3 linked regions of the Lonchura striata genome follow. The main gene of each other region encodes a partner of the protein of the gene in region 2 in a complex. Links are inferred from orthologs where the notes say so. Each region holds a gene or a part of one and is shown on either strand. Other genes may lie near its edges. The genes, in order: TMEM17, TMEM67 and TMEM237.

Region 1 (3,748 bases), on a different chromosome or scaffold from region 2:
GACAGGACAAGGCAGGTTGGGATGTTGAGAAGAAGATGGGATGTAGTGTAGAAATTCTTCTCTGTGAGGGTGGGCAGGCCCAGGCACAGGGTACCCAGAGCAGCTATGGCTGCTCCTGGCTCCCTGAACATGTCCAAGGCCAGGATGGATGAGGCTTGGAGCACCCTGGGATAGTGGAAGATGTCTGTGCCCATGGCAGGGGGTGGGATGAGATGAGCTTTCAGGTCTCTTCCAACCCAAACCATTCTGTGGTCCTGTAACTTCAGCCAATCAGGTGCTGGTTTAACCATGCTTTCAGCCCCAGATGGTTTGGTTTTGACAGCATATGGCAGTGAGCTCTGCAATTTCATTTTAGCTTTATTCAGGAAAAGAATAATCTCTTTCTTTGGTTTCTTGTGTTCCTTGACAGTTTCTGGCCCTTAAGGACCTCACTTACAGCACTTGCTTTCACTATTTGCAGCTTCTCTGATGCACCTTATGGGGTGAGCTGAAGATCATGAGGTCTGTTGGGTAGACCTAGATCTGTTGGGTAGAACTGACAGAGTGTGTCCAGAGAAGGCAACAGTGCTGGTGAAGGGGCTGGAGCCCCAGGAACAGCTGAAGGAGCTGGGAAGGGGCTCAGCCTGGAGAAAAGGAGGCTCAGGGGGGACCTTGTGGCTCTGCACAGCTCCTGACAGGAGGGGACAGCCGGGGAGTTGGGCTCTGCTCCCAGGGAATGGGGACAGATGGAGAGGGAACAGCTCAGGCTGGGCCAGGGGAGGCTCAGTTTGGATATTAGGGAATATTTCTTCATGGAAAGGTTTGTCCAGCTCTTATACAGGCTTCCCAGGGCAGTGATGGAGCCCTCATCCCTGGAAGTGTTCAAAAAATGTGTAGATGTAACATGGTTTAGGGGTGGCTTTGGCAGTGCTGTGTTAATGATTTGACCTGATGATCTTTGAGGGGTTTTCCCACCTTAATAATTATGTGATTTTCAACTTGAAGTTCCTGAAGAACCTTTCACTCCCAGTCATCTCTGGCTCAGCCACCCGCTAACACATCATCCCCCACTGCCCTCCCCAGCACCCCTGAGCCTGGGTGGGGCTTGAGGAACTCACAGTGATGGGTAAATGCTCCATGAACCTGGAGGCCTTGAAGAAGCATTTCAGGTGAAGAGTACCATCCTCTCATGAGGCATCCTCATCTGTCAGGGGTCTTTGAGCAATATTTGTATTGATAGAGCCTGGCTGAGAGAGGGTGCAGTTGCTTCAAGTCACAGTGACGGGTACAAGCTGCTGTCACCCCCTAAAGATGCTGTTGACAGGAGATGCTCTGTGACTTGTGACTTCCTTGCAACTCCACCATGTGATTCCTGCATGGGCTTGGTGTTCCAAGGTGGGAATTCTCCTTCCTCAGATCCCCGTTCCAGGTCAGCAGCCCTGTCCCCAGGGAGCCAATGGCCATATGGCCCTGCGCATTAGCCTGGCCTGCCACCTCACTGATTCCCTCCTGGCTAATCTGGGCTGAGCCGGGCTGGTGTGAGCAGGATTGCTGTCCATGGCTGTACCCACCCCACTGCCCCCCAGCCTGCGCCGAGGCTTGGTGGCCTTCAGTGGCTCCCTCTTCATCAACAACAAGACGTGGGACAGCAGCACTGCCCACGGCTACCAGCCAGGTATGCGCAGAGGGCTCTGCACAGGGGGGCTTGGGAACAGGGGGTGTCCATCCCCATGACCCTGCACAGGGGGGCTTGGGAACAGGGGGTGTCCATCCCCATGACCCTACTCAGCACATCACCAAAGCACCCAAAGAGTCCCCGAAACCACCCAACAGGGAGGGGAGCAAAATCAAGAACATTTGCTGCAATCAGCTGCTTGTGGGACCCAGGGTCTGTTGCTCACCTCCACTGTGAGGGGGGGGTCCCTCTGGGCAGGGGGACCCCGGGGCTGGTGAGCAGCCTGCCTATTCCTGCCTGTCCTGCCTAGCTCAAAAGGTGCTGTCCAGCCTGCCCCTCCAGGTGATGCTCTACTTCAACGTCTACTACTTCCCAGTCTGGTGCCTGGCTGAGGGAATTATGCTGCACCTGAAGGTACCATCCCATGGGGCACGTGGGGATGGGAGGAGCTGCTCCTGCCAAGTCTCCCTGGGCTTGGGTGGGGGACAAAATGGGCAGCGGACAGAGGAACCTTTTCAGAATTACTGGAGTCCCAAAATGCCCTGACCCCCATGAGAAAAGATTGTTCATTTCTGTCTGCTAGAGATGGAAATCATTAACTTTCCAGGCAAGAATGGTTAAAACAGGGGGGAAGAGTAGGCAGAGCTGTGCACCAGCATGGTGAGATCTGGCAGAGCATGGAAAGCTGGGTATGGGGAGGAGGGCACAAGGCATGGAGAGCAGGGAATGGTGCATAGAAGAAAGGGAAACTGGGCATGGACAGCTAGACTTGAACAAGGCTGTGCTCCCATAACAGTACCACCTGCTGCCTTGGCACTATCAGTTCCTGCTGGTCACAGCCTTCCTTATCCTCTCGCTGGCTGAGGGCTCCCGCCTCTACTTGGGCTACCTGGGGAACCTCCAGGAGAAGGTAAGCACTGCCTGCCCTGGCCTCTGTGCTCAGAGAGGATCAGCCCAGCTGGGGGAGCTGGATTTCTCCTCACTTATGAGCCATGTGTCCATCACTGTCCTTTCTCTGGAGGTCTACCTGGAACTGTCCTAGAAGAGAATCATGGGTGAAGGCATGACCTGGAGAGAGGAATGAAAGGGACCCATTTGCCCTCCTGCTGTGTCTCTCCACTGGGGGGGTTTGACAGCATCTCACCACAACTCAATGGAGCAGGGACATCCCTAGTCCCTGGGCACCAAGGCCAGCAGAGGCTGATGCAGGAAGCTCCAGGAGCACAGAGGGTCCCCCCAGCCCACCACTGCCTTCTTGCCCTGTCTCAGCAGCCTCTGGTCTTGCAGGTGCCTGAGCTGGCTGGGTTCCTGCTCCTCTCCTTCCTGATCCAGCTGCCCCTCCTGCTCTTCCTGCTGATGGACAGGCAGGTCATCCACCTACCGCTGGAGGTGCCCATGCACAGCTTGTTCCTGACCTTCCTCCTCCCCGAGATCGTGGCTGCCTTCCTGGCACTGAGGACCATGACCAAGCATCTGGCGGCACAGTTCTACCTGCGGCAGTTCCAGGAGGGTGCGAGGGGCCAGCTGGAGCCAGAGGGCACAGGGGGACAGGCAGCCAAGATGGGATGATGCTGCATGACCCCTCCACCCCACACAGCTGATCCTGGCAAGGAGCATTAAACAGTGCTTGAACCCACAGACATTGTTTCTGAGCTTTGTGGAGACTCCAGAACAGCACCCAGGCACAGCCCAGCTGATCCCAGCCTTGCACCAGCTAACACAGCCTAGGAAAAGTGGAAGTGAGCGGTTAGCACCTCTAAAACATTCCAGCTCACCCCACAGCTGTGCCTGTCCTTGCTCAGCATCAGCCCTGGCAGGAGGCAGGAATCAGGGTGCAGGAGCCACTGCATACCCCTAGGAAGTACCAGCCCAGGGCTGGAACTTTAAACTTGGCTCCTAAACCCTCCTTGAGTTTCCCAGAGAGCTTCTGAGAATCCAGGTGGTTCACACAAAGCCATCCCAGCTGGAAGCATGCAGGGTGCCACGAGGTGCAAGAGCAGCACTCCACAACCTTATAGTTCCTCCATGGCTAGAGACAGAGCAAAACCTCCTCCCACTTCCAGAACAGCTTTATTCCATTGCATCCCTGTTTTT
Region 2 (3,748 bases):
AACACGGATAGTCTCGTTTAGAAAAAAGACATTGTTTATTTTGTGCAGGGTACAAGGTGGGGGTTTCCACAAATCAAGCACACCACTAAGAAGTTATGTCTTTACACAATCAAATTTACATGAACGTGAGCCTAGGGACAGGTAATTTGATTTGAAAACATAAACTCAACCTTTTAATAGTTGTTGAGCCAAGAAAATAAATCCAGTGAGAAACAAAACATGCTAATGTTGAAAATCATAAGGCGACTAGCACGCAGGAGAGGCACAATGAGAAATAACTAAAATCCAGGACACAGTGTGTTGCAAAGTTTTGGTAACAACTGAGGGAATGAGACAAAAGGCAACAGGCAGAAACCTGCAGAGAAAGCTCCACCTGAGCGTGAAGAACTTCACTGCGCGGGTGCACTGGAACAGACTGCTCAGAGAGGCTGTGGAGTCTCCCTCACTGGCGATACTCAGGAGCTCTGGTCACAGAGCTGTGCCATGTGCTCTGGGATGATCCTGCTTGAGCAGGCAGGTTGGACCAAGCCCCCCGCTATGGTCCTTTCCAACTGGACTCATTCTGTGCTTCTGTGGGACGTGAACAAGAGTGTCACAAAGGTATAACAGTAACACTGGCTGAGCATCCACTGCTCTCGGCATTTTGTATTTTCACCTTGTTACCCTCTCTGGGGAGAAGTTACAAGCACCTGTTCCATTTGGATGATGCACTGTGCATCAGTTCAGGAAACGAGGTACCGGAAAGTGCAAACCGGGCCGGGGTGTCCTCTCGTTTCTGGCTCCTGGTCCCGCACAAGACGCACAAAACTCTCCGCGAGCCAAACGCATCAACTCCGGCCGCCGCGCCCTCCTTCGCCGCGCCCCGCGGACGCTTCGCTTGTTGCGGCGGCGGGCCCCCGGCGCTCGCCGTACCGCGCGGCTCTGGCCAATGGGCGCGCGCGGGCGGCGCGCGCGGTGGCCATGGCGACGCGGGGCCGCGGGGCCGCCGCCGCCGCGCTGCTGCTGGCGCTGGCCGCGGCGCCGCGCCCCGCCCGCGCCTTCTCCGTCCCGCTCCAGCGCCCCGCCGACTGCGGCGCCGACCGCTACTTCGACAGCTCCCGCCTGGCCTGCGCGCCCTGCGGGGCCCACCAGCGGCAGAGCGCCGGCGGTGAGCGGTGGGGGAGGCGGGCTCGGGCGGCTCCGGCTGAACCCGTCCCCAGCAGCGGGAGGTGCTCAGCCGGGCTCCGGCCCTGGCGCTGGAACGCGCCCGAGGGCGGCTCTGAGACAGCCGCGATGTGTCCGAGATACAGCTCAGAGAAATTACTTTCAACCTTTTTCTAATAACCTTTCTTTTCCTCGAGCGTTATATTGTATTTGCATTTTCATCTGTGAAATTCTACAGGACCCTGAATTTATGTTCTCGAGCACTTCTGTACCTTGAAACTCCTTGTCAGACTTGAATGTCCGAGATACCAAGTGTCTGAGATCCTCAGGCTGTGCCTGTTCTAGTCCAAGTCCCACACGGGAACTTGGAGCACATACAGCACAGCCTGACAGTACTAAATGGAAAATACAGGTAGTTGGCTGCTTTCTTTTGGCCATAAAGAGGTGTTAAGGGGTTAATCTTTCATAAAATACACAGTCCAACAAGAGTAGGAGTTCCCTGTGTACAAATTTGAGACTAAGACCTGACAACATCTCTGTCCAGAGCTGGTTGTTTGGGTGGAAGTAGTGATGGGCAGGGCTGTGTTCACAGCTGCTGCCTGAAAACTGCTCACCTTCACCACCACCATGAACCCCATATTTCACTTCCTGGAAGAAAATACAGTATTTTCAGATGCCCTGATAACGAGGGTGCCTAGATCCTTAACTCCTTTTTAGGCTGAATCTTCCTCTAAATAAAGGGCTTCAAGGAGAGGAAAATTCCAAGGAGAGGTCAAGGGTTAATTTTTTCCTGTAGATGTAACTGGAGCAGTGTAGGTAGGTGCTGCTCAGTGCTGTTTGCATCTTTACTGAATTCCACTTGAGATTGCCCAATTCCACTGGCTAGCCCAAGTGGAATTGGGCCATCTTGGCTAGCTCATCAGTCTGGATTCTGGTGTTAGGTCACATGCCTAAAAATCTAGGTATTGTCACTGTGAGTGTCACAACTCAAACTTTTCATTTATCTAATCCAATTGGGCTTTTTCTTCTTTAGAATTAAGTAGAAATGTTTGATCACTTTAACAAATGTTTCTGTACAGCTGGTCTCATTAGAATGTACTTTAAAGTGATAAACTTCCCACAGAATTTGACATTATTTTTGCCTGCACAGTTCAGTAAGCTTCAACAATAGAAAAAGTTCATTAGTACATATAATCAATTTTGTTTTCTGCTATGTGTTTAAAAATACAGAGGGAAATTCATTACACTGAGAGAGGGAAAGTTTCTAAAAAAACTGTTTAGCACTAGTAGATGGGCATTATACTGTTCCATTAAAATAGTGTTTAATTTCATACAAAATATTAAGTATTTTTTGTTCACTCACTGGAAACCATTCAATATAAACCTTGATCCCCATGCACAATTTTAAAAGTCTTGGGTTTAAAACAGTTTTTCATGCAACAGTTGTATTTTGAAAAACCTTTTCACAGGAACACATTTTGGTTTTAGGGCTGACTTCAAATTGAAAAAGTAAAACCTACATAAAAACACGTAATGTGTTTTATGTTGTAGAGGGAAAGGTTGTGGCAAGATTTAATGGAGAGATTATATCTATTACAGACCAACTGGTAAAATTTGGTTTAATTAAAAAAAAAAAAACAAACCACAAAATACAAGCTCTGGGTCCCTGTTCCACCCTGGTAGATCAGAGGCCGTGTAACATTCTCCTAAAACATCTATGTGCAAACTGTAACATCGGCGTTTTTTAAAAAGCAGGATGATTTTCATTCACATCTCACTCAAGTGTTTTATGTCTCTAATAATCCATCTTGATCTCTTGAGAACAATAGTATTTATTCTTAGTATTCTGTTGCAACCTGTCAGTTCTATATAGCTTAAAAGTGCATTTGTTGTTTTTTTTTTCCTTCAGGTAGTTCCTGTGAATGTGAACCAGGATACAGGATGGTTTCTAGTAATGATGGGTTCTCTGTTACTTGTGAAAAATGCCCAGAAAATATGGTAAGTATTGAATGTTTCATGTTTGCCATAATGATAGAATACAAATCATAATCATTATGGGATATTAAATTTTATCCTGACTGCAAGTTATTTTTCATTAATTTAAAATATTTTTGCATAATAGTCTTTCATTGGGAATTTTTAAGAACATGCTAATATGTAGTATTTTTTTTCAATTTAGAGTTGTCTATTTCTATTATTTTGTAGGCTTTTTTCATTACAAATTTGGCCCCACAGACAAAATAATAATTTTTTAAGCATTTAAGTTCTTTCCACTGCTTTTCTTCTCTGCTTTGTCCTTGTCTAGAGAGCACAACTCTATACCTTGTTAAAGATGCTTTTCAGCTCATAGGTATCTTAACTGATTATTTATGTAAATACTATTACTGTAATATTTAGGCTGTATCTTCATAATCCAGAATATTTCATCTTCTTACTTCAAAATGAGCTGTTCCTACTATGTTACTTTAATTAAAATTATAGTTTGATCAGTTCTTCTGACATTCCTTGACAAATTAAGTTATAATTTTTTGTCATAATCTCAGCACTGATCCCGAAACAGCAGGCTAAACCAGATTTTCCCCACTATAGTAAGCAAAGAAATGTA
Region 3 (3,748 bases), on a different chromosome or scaffold from region 2:
AGTTCTTTGATCATGTGATTGTGAATGACAATTTACAAGAAGCATCTGCACAGCTGCTGTCTGCAGTACATCGTGCACAGGATGAGCCCCAGTGGGTCCCTGCAGTATGGATATGCTCAGACAATCAGCCCTAATTCTAAACAGCAGGCAGCTTCAGAAAGATTACAGCTTATGTTTTACTTCAAGAATAATCCTAATGTCAGGATTGCAAGAATTTATCTTTGTATGTGAGGGATTTGGAAGAGGATTAGGAAAGAAGCTCCAACAGGAGATATAATCATACTATATTCTGTGTAGCTCTTGAGCATTTTATGTTACTTTTGTACAAAAAGAAGGGAAATACTGTGAGTACTCAATTACAAGAATAAAGAAAAATCTATTTTGTTGCATGTATTTGTGTTATTTACTTACACATAAATTCAGAAACTTCCTTTTTATTATGCTTGTTCTGGGTTCTATGATGCCTTTATATTCTGCAGGTCTTACAAATTATATTAAGTAAGAATGTGCTTTTTTTGCATGGTGTATGTCAGCATTATTATTTATGAAGGTATTGTTTTGTTGCTAATCCTTTTTACCTTTAAAATAGGAGCAGTGTTGGCATAACAATAATTACTACAAAACCCAGTTAACTTCATAATACTGTAAATATATCTTTTCTGCTCTTCCATCAACGCAAGTGAGTACAAACTGACAGAATGTGGACTTACCAAAGAGGAAAATAATCACAAAACCTTTCTCTTGTTGGTTTGGTCTGTGGTAGCATGGTCTCCTCAGCAAAGGGTTCAGTGCTTGTGGAAACTAAGTTACTCACTCTCTCCACCTCATATTTGTAGCTGTCTTGCCACCTGAGGTACACAGGTGGTTATTTTATTGGCCTACCTCATCTTGGAGGAAAATCAACAAAAGTGAGTTAAGCAGTCTAGAAAGAGGTTATTTAAAGGCAAGTATTACAGCCAACAGGATGCCTGTTTGTTCTAGAGCCAGGGCTTGTATTCCCTGTTTAGAGGTAAAATGGGAGAGAGAGAAGCCCCAATATGTCATTGATGTGGGTATGTACTGGTGAAGGGTGAGATAGCAGCCTGGTCCATGAGCAGCTTCCCCACGTCTGCCTAGTCCCAGCATCTTTGCCTTTTCTCCATGTATTATTTCTTACTTTGGTTTTGTTTTCTTCGATTACTTCATTTATCAGTTTAAGACCCTGGCTACAAACTGAACTAGTCCAGAACTCTTTTCTCCTTGCTTTTGCTTGTCTGCAGCCCGAGAGACGACGACTCCCGCTCGGGGCCCCGGAGCTGAGCTCGCTCCGATGGGCCAGCCGCCGGCAACACGGCGCAGCCAAGGAAAACGGGAAGCCGGACCTCCCAGCGCTGGGGGGCGGTGCAACCGCGGCGCAGGGCGGAAGGAGCAGCGGCTCCTCCCCGCAGAGCCGGAGCTGGGCGGGCGTGGTCCATGGCGGCGCGGCGGGCGGGCCCCGGCGTGGTGAGGGGGCGGTGGGGCCGGAGCGGGAGTGGGGCGCGAACGGCTCCGTGGGGCTGCAGGGCGGGGAGCCCGGCGGCGGGAGTTTGGCCCACCTGAGCGCTGTTGCTGAAGGGATGTGGCGGGCCGCTCCCCAAGCAGCAGCTGCTCAGGGGAGGCGGAGCTGAAGCGCAACGCGGTAGCAGAGCGCCCTGGTAGCAGAGCGCCCTGGTAGCAGAGCGCCCTGGTAGCAGAGCGCCCTGGTAGCAGAGCGCCCTGGTAGCAGAGCGCCCTGGTAGCAGAGCGCCCTGGTAGCGAGGCTCCTGCGTCCCCGCTCCGCTGCGGAGGCGGCGGTGCCCGCCCGGCTGCATCCCGCGGGAAGGGGGGAATGTAACCGGCCGCATGGTCGCACATTTCTGAAGATCTTTGTAACGGAAGCAAGCAAACATTTCCTTCATGTACTTTTTGATATAAACCTCTCAAAAGAAAATCTGCAAGGCTTTAACAAATCTGTGAAGGCTGCTTCAGTATTTTTAAACATTCTGGACATTTAAACCTTTCCTTCTCAGCGTCCTGGAATGGGCATCCGGGGATTTGGATAGTTCGTTTTCCCCCTGAGTGTCCAGGTGCGTCCCACTGTCTTGTGGCCTGGCTCAGGTGTGCAAACACAGGGTTTGACCGAGGCAGCGGCTGCCTTGTTTGTGGGAGTCTCTTGGTTTCGGGGGCATTATTTCGGAGGCATTTTAAAGCACGCAGCGGTTCTTCTGTCCATAACAAAATGTCCATGGGGACCTGTCCCCAGACTCACCCTTTCTATGAAATTTGGGGTAAGTTACTTCAGACTCTGTGAAATTGCAATTAGACAAAAGCTGATAGCTCTATGGCAAAGCTAGGAACTGTCACACAGATGGGCAGATGAGTATTTACAACTGGCTGCTTGCATGTGCTTTCCTGTGTTGCAAGGAATAAATTATACAGAAATCAATGCACTTGCCAGTTGTTCTGTAGAAGGTAATAAAATAAAAAGGTACTACTGAGTATAGAATTACTACTGCATAGGCAGTGAATGCTGTGTCTTGTTTGTTTTTATGGAGTTTTTTAGCATTTAGTTTTTTTAAATACTAAGTATTGTAAACATTTACTGCCACAAGAATGTTGGAAATAATAAAAGTAATGAGATCTGACCTTTACCAATATTTTTTTCCCTTATGGTGCACCAGTATAGCGTGACCAGTCCCCACCAGTTTGCTGGAAGCCCCTTAGGGTGTGCAGTTCTCTACCTGTGTAGCAAGTGGCACTTGCTGTCAATCTTCAGCATGGCCAAAATCCAAGTAAGAGATTTGAAGTCTAATCCCACAAACCCTTCCTTGCATGAGGTATCTCATTTCCTTTGGGTAAACAAACCAATGTAAAACTTGTTTATAAGAACCTGTGCCAGCACGCAGAATGAAGAGTTTTTTAGTGCAAGTAATATTTGCTGTCATAGAACAACCTGCCCTTGTTTCAAATGGGAGTAGTTCTGGGTCCTGACCCAGGGGTAGGAGGGTTCAGGTCCAGCTAATCCTGGCTGCCTGAAGTTTATTTTTAGTTCAGAATTAGCTGCGGTTCAATGTGAGGGAGCTGAGCAGTGTGAGGGAGCCTAGACCAGTTCACAGTGCCTCTTTCAGGGAAGGACTTCAAATGATATGGGAAAGAAACAAGTGGTAAGTTTGTGGCTCCTTGAGTCTTACCAGTCTTCCAACCTTTTTTAGTTCTGGTATTTGAATTTTCTGGGCATGGAAAATACTTTTTTGTGTATGTTCTTTCAATATAATTGTGTAATACAAAATCTGAAAGTTAACTCCTTTTTCTAGGGAAGAGAAAGGTACAAGCTCAGTTTCAAATTATTATTTGGAGATCCTTTTAGATTTTAGGTGTTTGACCTGCTGGTAAATATGTTCAAAATTATATGGAAAAATGATATTTTGTAATATTTAAAAGCATTTTAATAAGTGAGCTTATTTCCTTTTATTGTTTTTATTATTGTTCTGAATTTACCTCATTAATAGAAAATACTCATCTCAGGTTGTATACTGTACAATTACTGAATGCACAATTCATTACAATATTTTATATTTATTTGAATAGAATAACTAATAAGCTTTATAGTGAAGGTGGTACCTTACATGAAAAAGTAGAAATTATTGAAGCTAAAATGTAAGCTGTGTCTCACACAGAGGGTAGCTGTATGTTCCTACTGCAGTGCCCATCAGAACTCTGATAAAGGCATATTAGTTCAGCATCTTTTACA

Evidence for each region.
Region 1: TMEM67 (region 2) and TMEM17 share a complex: the UniProt entries of both Homo sapiens proteins name them as parts of the tectonic-like complex. The link is inferred for Lonchura striata from reciprocal best matches to the Homo sapiens genes TMEM67 and TMEM17.
Region 3: TMEM67 (region 2) and TMEM237 share a complex: the UniProt entries of both Homo sapiens proteins name them as parts of the tectonic-like complex. The link is inferred for Lonchura striata from reciprocal best matches to the Homo sapiens genes TMEM67 and TMEM237.

The regions. Positions count from the first base shown.
Region 1 is NC_134620.1:1,594,380-1,598,127, forward strand, and holds TMEM17 (transmembrane protein 17), read left to right. Parts: upstream 1-1,536; coding exon 1,537-1,654; intron 1,655-1,892; coding exon 1,893-2,068; intron 2,069-2,450; coding exon 2,451-2,564; intron 2,565-2,941; coding exon 2,942-3,223; 3' UTR 3,224-3,292; downstream 3,293-3,748. UniProt on the Homo sapiens protein: Transmembrane component of the tectonic-like complex, a complex localized at the transition zone of primary cilia and acting as a barrier that prevents diffusion of transmembrane proteins between the cilia and plasma membranes.
Region 2 is NC_134603.1:24,492,169-24,495,916, reverse strand, and holds the start of TMEM67 (meckelin), read left to right. Parts: upstream 1-1,048; 5' UTR 1,049-1,147; intron 1,148-3,052; 5' UTR 3,053-3,084; coding exon 3,085-3,141; intron 3,142-3,748. UniProt on the Homo sapiens protein: Required for ciliary structure and function. Part of the tectonic-like complex which is required for tissue-specific ciliogenesis and may regulate ciliary membrane composition.
Region 3 is NC_134610.1:27,004,989-27,008,736, forward strand, and holds the start of TMEM237 (transmembrane protein 237), read left to right. Parts: upstream 1-1,440; 5' UTR 1,441-1,452; coding exon 1,453-1,482; intron 1,483-3,748. UniProt on the Homo sapiens protein: Component of the transition zone in primary cilia. Required for ciliogenesis.